3 linked regions of the Daphnia pulex genome follow. The protein of the gene in region 1 purifies or fractionates together with the protein of each later gene. This does not show direct contact. Links are inferred from orthologs where the notes say so. Each region holds a gene or a part of one and is shown on either strand. Other genes may lie near its edges.

Evidence for each region.
Region 2: the proteins of vesicle transport protein USE1-like (region 1) and RAD50-interacting protein 1-like purify together in Homo sapiens (co-immunoprecipitation; 3 studies listed by BioGRID and IntAct, counting the BioPlex papers as one, with this or other methods). This does not show direct contact. The link is inferred for Daphnia pulex from reciprocal best matches to the Homo sapiens genes USE1 and RINT1.
Region 3: the proteins of vesicle transport protein USE1-like (region 1) and sec1 family domain-containing protein 1-like purify together in Homo sapiens (affinity purification with mass spectrometry; 3 studies listed by BioGRID and IntAct, counting the BioPlex papers as one, with this or other methods). This does not show direct contact. The link is inferred for Daphnia pulex from reciprocal best matches to the Homo sapiens genes USE1 and SCFD1.

The regions. Positions count from the first base shown.
Region 1 is NC_060018.1:697,735-700,322, forward strand, and holds vesicle transport protein USE1-like, read right to left. Parts: upstream 1,772-2,588; 5' UTR 1,680-1,771; coding exon 1,581-1,679; exon of another isoform or gene 1,564-1,580; coding exon of another isoform or gene 1,561-1,563; intron 1,491-1,560; coding exon 1,362-1,490; intron 1,306-1,361; coding exon 697-1,305; coding exon of another isoform or gene 650-696; 3' UTR 647-649; downstream 1-646. Other genes in the region: ATP-dependent Clp protease ATP-binding subunit clpX-like, mitochondrial, read left to right, coding at 21-88, 151-222; translation factor Guf1, mitochondrial-like, read left to right, coding at 2,042-2,115, 2,204-2,391, 2,453-2,588.
Region 2 is NC_060023.1:2,168,625-2,172,383, reverse strand, and holds the start of RAD50-interacting protein 1-like, read left to right. Parts: upstream 1-915; 5' UTR 916-1,009; coding exon 1,010-1,150; intron 1,151-1,214; coding exon 1,215-1,456; intron 1,457-1,526; coding exon 1,527-1,700; intron 1,701-1,762; coding exon 1,763-1,909; intron 1,910-1,973; coding exon 1,974-2,443; intron 2,444-2,509; coding exon 2,510-2,865; intron 2,866-2,932; coding exon 2,933-3,065; intron 3,066-3,133; coding exon 3,134-3,254; intron 3,255-3,314; coding exon 3,315-3,370; intron 3,371-3,444; coding exon 3,445-3,554; intron 3,555-3,619; coding exon 3,620-3,753; intron 3,754-3,759. Other genes in the region: uncharacterized protein LOC124197333, read left to right, coding at 1-131, 194-309, 373-576. UniProt on the Homo sapiens protein: Involved in regulation of membrane traffic between the Golgi and the endoplasmic reticulum (ER); the function is proposed to depend on its association in the NRZ complex which is believed to play a role in SNARE assembly at the ER.
Region 3 is NC_060019.1:10,712,922-10,716,680, forward strand, and holds the start of sec1 family domain-containing protein 1-like, read left to right. Parts: upstream 1-1,155; 5' UTR 1,156-1,315; coding exon 1,316-1,346; intron 1,347-1,410; coding exon 1,411-1,872; intron 1,873-1,951; coding exon 1,952-2,041; intron 2,042-2,102; coding exon 2,103-2,238; intron 2,239-2,309; coding exon 2,310-2,652; intron 2,653-2,717; coding exon 2,718-2,853; intron 2,854-2,939; coding exon 2,940-3,124; intron 3,125-3,184; coding exon 3,185-3,264; intron 3,265-3,325; coding exon 3,326-3,464; intron 3,465-3,529; coding exon 3,530-3,745; intron 3,746-3,759. UniProt on the Homo sapiens protein: Plays a role in SNARE-pin assembly and Golgi-to-ER retrograde transport via its interaction with COG4. Involved in vesicular transport between the endoplasmic reticulum and the Golgi.

The sequences.
Region 1 (2,588 bases):
TTTTTTTATCGTGTTTTTAGTATCAGTCCATGTCACAGAGGATGCAGTTAATGGCAGAAGTCAACCTCTCTTCATCCATGCAGCCCAAGTATAATATCCTTACTAAAATAATAAAACTTTTAATTTGGTTATAATTTTGGTTTCTAACAGAGCGTTACCAGTGATGGTCAAGTAGCTGTTGACGACGAAGAATTGGGACAAGCCCAAGCTGGACGGGGTTAGATAATACTTGTTTTCAAACAACAACTTTTCGTTTTCTTTCCAACGGGGCTACTTATGGCGTATATATATCGGGATTTCTAGACTACGTCGATATGTACAATTTTAAAAAAATGTACTAAGCCTCCCTTGTTGCCTCGTTTTATTTTTAACTTCTTTTTGTTTATGGGACTCGAAGCCTTCAATAAAGTCGATATAACTTCATTTCAATTAGGTTTAGATTTAGATTAACTGAGACAAATTGGGACAACTAACTGTGCTAATTGTGATGTGAATAGCAAAATATTATGATTTAAAAACAAAAAATCCAAAATACATTAATTGTAGTTGTATTCTCAAAGTAAGGGCACCAGTGGTTGATGAATCCTATTTAAGAACTTTTAAGTTTTAACCTTGTTTAATTTTTAGTATGTGTGATGTTCTTTTATACTTAGGATGTCTTCTTTTTCTTGAACAACCGCATGAAGACAATCATGGCTAGATAATAGAAAAAATTAACATCAAATGAACCTCAACATTACAATGAAGCAATAGATTACCTATGAAAGACATGCAGACAAGCAATAAAAACAACCAAACCCAGCAACGGGTACAGAATCCACTTCTCTCTTGAAGCTTTTGTGTTTGAGTCTGAAGGTTTGTCTGATTTTCTTCAGCCAGAATGTTGGCCTTTTCCAGTGTAATTAAGTCCTGTCTGATAATTGAGTTTGCAGACATGGTTTGCTCTTTCATGGTTTTAGCCATGGTAAGCAAATTATTTGTGATTTCTTCTTGGGTTTGCTGCTCATTACTAATCACTCCATCAAAATCCTGCACATGAGTAGGAGTGGTGTTTGTTTTTATGGTGCTCAGTAATTCAGTTTTTCTTTGCCTTAATGTTGAAGCAGGATTTTCAAATTCTTCATTTTTTTCTGTTGAGACAGACTCATTTGCTGGAAGTAATTTATTGGTCAGCAACTCATCCCTAACTTGATTGCTATACTGAGATGCAACTTTATGTCGGATTTCCTTTGAAACTGTGTCTCCGTATGGAGAAGAACAAGGGGACAAAAACTGAGAAGCAACAACTTTATCTGTAACAGAAGGCTGGAAAATTTTTATAAGTTAAGTTATGAGAAAATATGTAATGATGATGTAATTACCAGCTTTTCAGTGATGGTAAGACCTTTCAAAAAAGCAACAGATTTTGTGTAATCATCTAGAACATCCTTATTTGGTGGCATTGGACATTTCTTCAATTCTGTCAGCTGTTCTTCAAGTGTAATGATATACTATTAAACAGGAGGCAAGACAAATTAAAGCGATCCAGCTTCAGTTATTGTCGGTGGAAAAACTTATTACCATTGAAGAAGTAAGTCTACCTTCTCAAATCTCCATTCAGTGTGCTTTCCATTGTTGGCAATCGTTTTACACTGTTCTAAAAGTCGGATAAAGTTTGTTTCCAATCGAGTTCGGGTCATTTTTAGTAGCTATTAGCTAACGGATTAAATTCCCCTAAAATTAAACCCAAAATGCAGCAATTTAGAGCGACGAGCACCTAGCCACCTAGACAGTTGACGTAAACATTGTGTTGTGAAGAGCACGATGAATAATACAGGCCGCCCGGTGCGAGCTACTTTTTCTGACATGGCAATTGGCGCTCGATCTTCGATGCGTCGATTCTCCAAAACATTTTGCTGCTGGCCGACCATGCTATTGGTATTGGGCTGGCCTTCGCTTGTAGGAAAATTCGGCAAACTGCTGTCTGCTATTTATTTTCAAAAGAAAATAGAAACCATTGCCGGAATTATTACACATAGAAGTTGATTAATAAGTAAATCTGATGATGTGGAAATCACGTTCCATTCGCCATGCTTTTAAAATGTGCAGATGCAAATCCTATAAACATGTGTTTTGGTAAGTAATTTTTTTTACTCAAGAAATAATACTATTCTTTCTGAGAAGGAGCATCACACTGATTTGCCTTTATTTCTTATTTGTCTAGGAAGAGACAAATATTTCTTTTGCCAGAGCACATGAGTCTCCAACAAAGTTTTCAACACTATTCCAGTAAATCTAAATCTGAAATTGACCTAACCTTATTCCCTGTCGAGAGGATCAGAAATTTTTCAATCATAGCTCATATTGATCATGGGAAGAGTACTCTTGCAGATAGGCTATTAGAATTAACAGGTTTACAATATTCATCATTATTTGACTGAATACAGTTCTGTAATTGTCTCTTCATTTTCAGGAACAATTAGCAAAGGAGGTCATGAAGCCCAAATGCTTGATCGTTTGCAAGTAGAAAGGGAGAGAGGCATTACAGTGAAAGCTCAAACTGCCACATTAGTATATAATTATCAAGGAAATGACTATTTGCTGAATTT
Region 2 (3,759 bases), on another chromosome or scaffold:
TGAAGGCAATGATTTCCGTTCCCTAAGACAACTGCATTTAAACAAGATTAGCAAAGGAAAGATCTGTAGAAGACCTGTCAAAACTACACATCCAATCGATGCAGACGTCGAGATGAAAGAATCTCATTCGGGTAATTTGTCATTATTCTGGAAGCCAATTTTTTGAGACATAATTCTTGTTGTTTGATTGCAGATTTAAAAGAAGACATAGAAGATGAAGATAGACCATGGAAGAAAAGAAAAGATGAATACTATTCTGAGCATTTCTATCCTGAGAAGGATCCTGTCATAACCAAATTCACTGTTTCGGTAAAATTTTGTTTCTCTTTCTAGATCCAGTTCACGCCTAATTTTTTATTTTCTATTGCTTAGTCTTCGTCCAAGTTCTCCGGTACCCGGACGACTTCGAAACTTAAGTGCGACCTTAAAGTAACCTTACGATCAGACAACCTCCTCGAGTTTTTTAACTATTCATTGGACAAGGGAATTCTCACGTACCCTTTAAACCCGTTTTTTGAAAACATCGTTAATTTAGGGCGCACCTCAATTTCAACAAAGGATATAGAAGAAAACTAGACTGTAATTGTTGCTACATTTTTCATTTTCAAACTGTATGATACGGTTATTACGGTAAATTTAAATGATTTTTAAATACACTAAATTTGAATTCATTCTATTATCGAAAAGTGTTTTGGTAGAGTGATTGTTTCGGACTTTCAGTCTCGTCTCGCTCGATCATAAGTTATGACAAAGTAAGAGAGTAAAAAGCATAATTATTCATAATTTTCATCAGCTACTGGATTTTCATGGATTTCCGCTTATTCTCTGCTTATGACTATGAATTATGAGTTAATGAGTTGTGTTCAATTTATCTTGCAACCTCGCGATTTATTCTGACACATAAACAAGCAGACAGTTTTCAATAGCAAATTGTAGTGTGGCTGTGGCAGCCAGTGAGCAGCAAACAAGTTGTGTAAACAAACTTAATAAATTACACATATTTATTGAGATGACGGAGGAAAACCCGGATTTGCAAAGAAAAATTGTAAAAGCACTCAATGAAGAAATTGGATCAGATTTAAAACAACTTCACAAACTCAAAGAACTGTATGATGAAACCAAAACCATACAAAATGATCTGAAAGAGAAAGTAAAATAATCTTGCTTCACCTGTTTTTCCAACATCTATTTATCTAATATTTATCTATTTTCAGCTTTCATTAGTTAGCACAGAAGCTCCAACAAAAGTTCAAAACACCTTGAGGGAGGTTGAAGAGCTCTCAAAAAAACTAGTGACTCTTGAAAAACAATACTTGGACTTGAAAGTTGAAGCCCAATCACACTTAACATCTGTCGACACATTTCTAGGAAATTTCAGCAGTCAACTACAAGAAATAGAAAGACTTGAACTGGAATATTCCTACCTGAAATGCATCAAAACTGTGGAAGATCTAAGGTATTCAATTTAATAAACATATAAACCCCATCATAAAGTATTAATCATGTTTCATCACTTATGATATTAGTGAGAAAATCCGACAGAGTTTACAGTCTAACCTAGATTTGGAAGCTGTTGAGTTGTACAACAAACTCGTACAACACAACTGCATGCTGGAAACATCTCAGTGTGAAAATCTAAAAAAGTTTGTTAATGATACTGTAATTTTCTGGTTTGAGATGATCAAGGAAAAACTAAAAAAGTATAGCCCATTTCAATTAAAGATTTATTATACACGTTAAAAAATGTTCTTTTGAAAAACAGGGAAATGCAAGATACTCTTAAACTGATACAGTGGCCTTTGATTTCAACGAACCAGGAGGTTTTAAAAACTGTCCCTCCACCTGATGTGATGAGCAAGTTTCAGTTACAATTTCAGTGCCTTGGCAAACTGGAAATCCCATCCAAACAGTCAGTTCTACACTGGCCCAAGTACAAGTTTGCGGATACATTTTGAATTCTTTATTTCTTTCAGGTTGGAAGATCCAAGTGTGGCAGATCATGTGATTTTGTCTAGATTTACTCCTTCCAGCCTAGCCATCCAAGAATTAATATATCCTCTATTGAAAAGATTTTTATATCATTTTGGTGGTAATCGACCAACCAACCGTCGTGACAAACCCGAGTGGTATATGCGCCAGATTCTTCAGTGGATTGGAGATCACGCTAAATTCCTCGAAACAAACGTTCAACCCTTGTATGCACCTAATGATGCTTTAACGGATTTTTCACGAGGACTCGTTCAACTTGCTGTCGAGAAACTAGTAAAGGACACACCGGTTATCCTTGAGGATGAAACCATTTTGGCACACACTATCGGTGAAGTACTCAGCTTTGAGAGTGAACTTCGATCCTCTTACAACTACCCATCCTCACAGCCGTCAGCTTTACTTGTTCTCTCTCAGCCCCAGTTTTTTACTCGATGGATTGCCTTAGAAAGAGCTTGTAAGTTGACTAATGAGAATTTCCTCGCATTCTACTTAAACTTCAATCATTCTGTTTCATTCATAGTCGCCGTAGAAAAAATGGACATCCTTTTGATTAGCGATAAAGCCTGGACTTGCGTCTCTGGAGACAATTCCGAGGCAGAAGACGAAGTTCGATTAACTGAGTGTGGCGAAGGATTTCTCCAAATGCTGCTGGCCATTACGGATCGTTACAAGATCTTACCCCAACCCGGTCATAAGTTGCAGTTTTTGGATTTACAGCTTGAACTGCTGGACGAGTTCCGTATTCGGTTGCTACAGTTAGCCCGTCAAGACAAATTTCACGAATTATTCGCCAATCGATCATCGCCCAATATCAGCCCTATCCTGAACACGCTGACGGCTGTTATTAATGTTCTAGATGACTGGACTGATTTGCCGGTAATAATTTATCCAAATTATGAATTATCGTATAATAATCGTTTATGTTTCTCTTTTGTGATGCAAGTTCTTCGTTCAACTGCATAGTTATAAAGTCCAGACGGAAAATATTGAACGTTTAGCTGCAGAAGCTATTAGCAATGATGAGGCCTCGCTTCCTTGGCTTCGTACTCAAGCTCATACTAATCGAGACGAAGAAGGTAAACAAATAGTCTTTTCAATATTATTTTTCCGAACAAAACATTATTCCGAATTTGATCATCAACAGGATCGGTATTTGACAGCATCATTGAGCTTTTAAAGAGAATGCAGGAAGATTTGCTGCGCCGTCTGGTAGAGGCGGTGATGCTCGAAGTGAAAGCCAAATCGCAACCCTACAGACTTGACAAGTAAGTAATTGAAATAATTTTTTGAATTGCCTTATTATAAAAAATGGAATTGTCCGGTAGGTGGGCATCACTCCCCAATCCGGATGAATTCATTCAACCCAGCCTATCGCCAACAGGTCAGTATTTAGATTCGTAGTTTTTATTTGATAATCCGTTTTATTATTTGACGTCTTTGTTCTATAATAAATAGGATCTGCAATGCTCCAGGCAGTAGCGATTGGCTTGTTGTGGCTTAAGGATTCCCTGGCATCTACTATGTTTGTCGAAGCGTGGCAGAAATTGGCCTCTCAAGTGAACGACGTATGAAATGACTGTGCCTGTTTTTATTCAATCAGAAATTTTAACGAATCAAACATTAATTCTAGTTCCTCTTGGAAGAGCTGATCCTACAGCGGCAGTTTAATGAAGGAGGCGCTTCTCAACTTTGCTTCGACATCCAGCAGAATCTGATACCGCTTTTTGGGCAATACACCACAAAACCGGAGATTTACTTTAAAGAGTACGT
Region 3 (3,759 bases), on another chromosome or scaffold:
TTTAAAGAATGTAGTTTGTTGACGGAGACTCAAAGCTATAATTGTCCTTCTTGGGCAAATGATAGTCGAAGACTGTTTATCTTACAAACGCAACAAGCTTACCTTATATAGGAACAATTTTCAAGGGATTGATTCTTGGTCTTTAAAGCGCAACGTGTTAGATAATTGCCATTTGTGAAACGGAAAAGTTTACGGAAATAATACGTACGTGCAATAATGTAGGAAATCCTGCATAGTCATAGAGGGAAGGAGTATAATGGCATAACAAATGCTACCATTTACTTTCCATTTCAGTTTTGTCTCTCTGGACTCTCTATGTCAAGTTCCTCGGTTTAAGTAGAAAACGAAAATATAGGCCACACCGAAACAGACACGAAGATAATGAAATGGTCCCGTCTCCCGTCGGCTTATTATTCTTTGCGGTAAATAGGGTATTTGTTAAATACTTAAATTCTTTTAAAAAGAGGACACAAATACAGCTTAAATTATATTATTCATAGTTACATAAGACGCCGATTTTCGTATTCAGTGTTTCTTCAATTAGGAATTTCGTAGAATTTTTTTTATCGCATCTTAATTGAATCAAGCCATTCAGATGTCATGGATGTTAATAACATGAATAAAAATATTATTTTTCTTTTAGCTATCATTTTAAAAAGAACTTTTCTCTTTGCCTGTGATGAAATAAAAGTAAACAGGAAACAAACACTAAAGGGTGGGACACTATTTAACTCTATAGACTTTTAGGCGGCATACATTTTCCGCTCTGATTCCTTCGACAGTGAAAAAGAGGTTTATGTATCGAGGTAACAACTGAAATACTTCGAAATTGATAAAATTTAGAAGGTAAGCCAATGCGGAAATTTCTCCAATAAAGGGCAAGCGTTGACGATCACTAAAGTAAAAAGTGAAACTGATTAACTGACCTTGTTGCCTGACATTTGTTGCTTGGGAGTTAGGACTTGGCTTCCAGCTCCAGGGAGGATTCTGTTACAGAGAAAGGTGTTACAAAAACATGAAAAAGAAGGAGAACGGTTATAATATTAAAACTTTATCAAATAATACAACATCTAAATAATTTAAGCAACATTTTCGTAAAAAGAGAAAGTACCAATCAAAGTTTATGTTGCCGCCGAAAAAAGTAAAAACAGGCAGACAACCTCTTGGAAGCCATCTAGCGGAGAAGAAAAAAACAGCTGCTGACGTATCTGTTTTGACGGATCCGGATAAGTACACGATCTGACCGACATCCAAAATCCAAATATATAATATAACATAAAACAATATAACACGAGAATATTGAACAAGAAAAACCATGGGCTCTTCAATACGAGAGAGACAGATAAGTACGTCTGTTAATTGTTTTCTTTAAAGACTCAGTTTTTCATGCTATACTTTCTGTTCTTACAGATCTGTTGAAGCAAATGATAAATTTCAACCAACCTATAACTAAATCAACTATCATGGAACCATCATGGAAAATTTTGGTGTACGACAAGTATGGACAGGATATCATATCCCCCATTCTATCAGTCAAGGAATTGCAAGAACTAGGTGTGACTCTCCACGTCCAACTACACTCACCTAGAGACCCTGTTCCAGATGTGCCTGCTATTTACTTTTGCCTGCCCACTGAAGAGAACCTAGGACGAATAAGCCAAGATTTACAAAACCAGCTATATGAATCATATTACTTCAATTTTATCTCATCCATATCCCGGCAAAGATTGGAGGACTTGGCATCTGCTGCAATCAATGCTCAGAGTGTGGCCCAGATCTTAAAAGTTTGTGATCAATACCTGAATTTCATTTCTCTGGAAGATGATTTGTTTATCCTCAGAAATCAGAACAGTGACATGATATCCTACTACTGTGAGTACTACTCTTGCCCCCATTGCCACATTGTTTCCTTAAAACAAATCAAATTATAAATTTATCTTATTAATTTCAGCTATGAACAGGGGTGAAATAACAGATACAGAGATGAACAACATTTTAGATGGAATTGTGGATAGTTTATTCTCTTTATTTGCCACATTGGGTAAAAGTTGTTCTATTTTTCATTTATATGTGCATCATGTGCAAATTATTCAATGATGCAGGCACTGTTCCGGTGATTCGAAGTCCTAAAGGAAATGCAGCTGAAATGGTAGCTGAAAAACTAGACAAGAAATTAAGGGAGAGTTTGCGAGATACGAGAAGTGGTCTTTTTACTTCTGATCTAACCCAAAGTTTTGGGTATGTCTGTTTCATAGCCAAATAACCCGCCGCGCGAATTGCAGTTACAATATATTTTTTAAAATTTTTAGATTTCAGAGGCCTTTGTTGGTTCTCCTCGACCGTAACTTGGACATGGCTACACCTCTCCACCACACTTGGACTTACCAAGCCCTTGTACACGATGTTTTGGATTACACTTTAAATCGTGTGGTCGTCCAGGAACCAGAAAGTGATGCCAATCACCATCCGGATAGCCATCGGCACACCCCTTCTCACAAAGCCAAAATAAAGACTTGTGATTTGAACCCATCCGACAAATTTTGGATATCTTATAGAGGCAGTCCTTTCCCAACAGTAGCAGAATCCATCCAAGAAGAACTGGAAGATTACAAAGCATCGGAGAGTGAAGTGAAACGATTAAAAGAATCAATGGTACTGTTTCGATGAATAGAAATTTGTGGCCATTAATTTACCTTATTACGTTTTGTTTTTCAAAGGGATTAGATCCAGACGGAGAAGCCGCTATGAGTTTGATTTCCAACACAACAGCCAAGCTGACTTCAGCAGTTAGCTCTCTACCCCAGCTTCTGGAGAGGAAGCGGCTTTTAGACATGCATACAACCATAGCAACAGGTAAAATTATGTATTTTTTTAAAGGCTTCCTATGAACCACCCATAAATTGACACAAGACTAAACTTACTAACTTTCAATCTTTTAGCCATCTTGGAGCAAATCAAGCAGCGAAAATTGGACGTTTTACTAGAGGTGGAGGAGAAGGTTATGAGCAAAAACGCCTTAGATCGATCTGTCTTAGACATCATTAGTGATTCGGAGTGCGGAACTCCAGACGACAAACTCAGACTCTTTCTGGTCTATTTTATTTGTTCACCTAACATGACTGAGGTAGGGAATAAGCCTCTTTTACAATGATATTTACTTGTTATATTTATCGATTTTGTTTAGTCCGAAACTGATCAGTACGCCGCTGCACTAAAAGCTGCTGGCTGCAATTTAGCAGCTTTGCGCTATTTGAAGCGTTGGAAGTGAGTAATTTCAATCGTGGATTGTTTGACATGTTTCTAAAATTCACTATTTTCAATTAAGGTCGTGCAGCAAGATTGCGACTGGCTCTAGCCAGTACTCGGGAGGTGGAACTAGAACAGTGAACATGTTTACGAAACTTATGTCCCAAGGCTCGAATTTTGTCATGGAAGGCGTGAAGAACTTGGTTGTAAAGAAACATGTAAGCATTTTCTGGTTGAATTACTTTCAAATCAGAATTCATTTGATGAAAATATTTTTCAACAGAATTTACCAGTTACACGGATTGTTGATCACTTGATGGAACTGAAACCCTCTCCAGAAACCGACGATTACCGTTATTTTGATCCAAAGCTTTTGAAACCTAGTGAGGGCGGTAGTACTGCTCCTCTTAAGAGTCGTGCCCAATTCCAAGATGCTATTGTATTCATGGTGGGTGGAGGGACATATGCCGAGTATCAAAATCTGGTCGACTATGCTAAAGTATTGAATCTTTT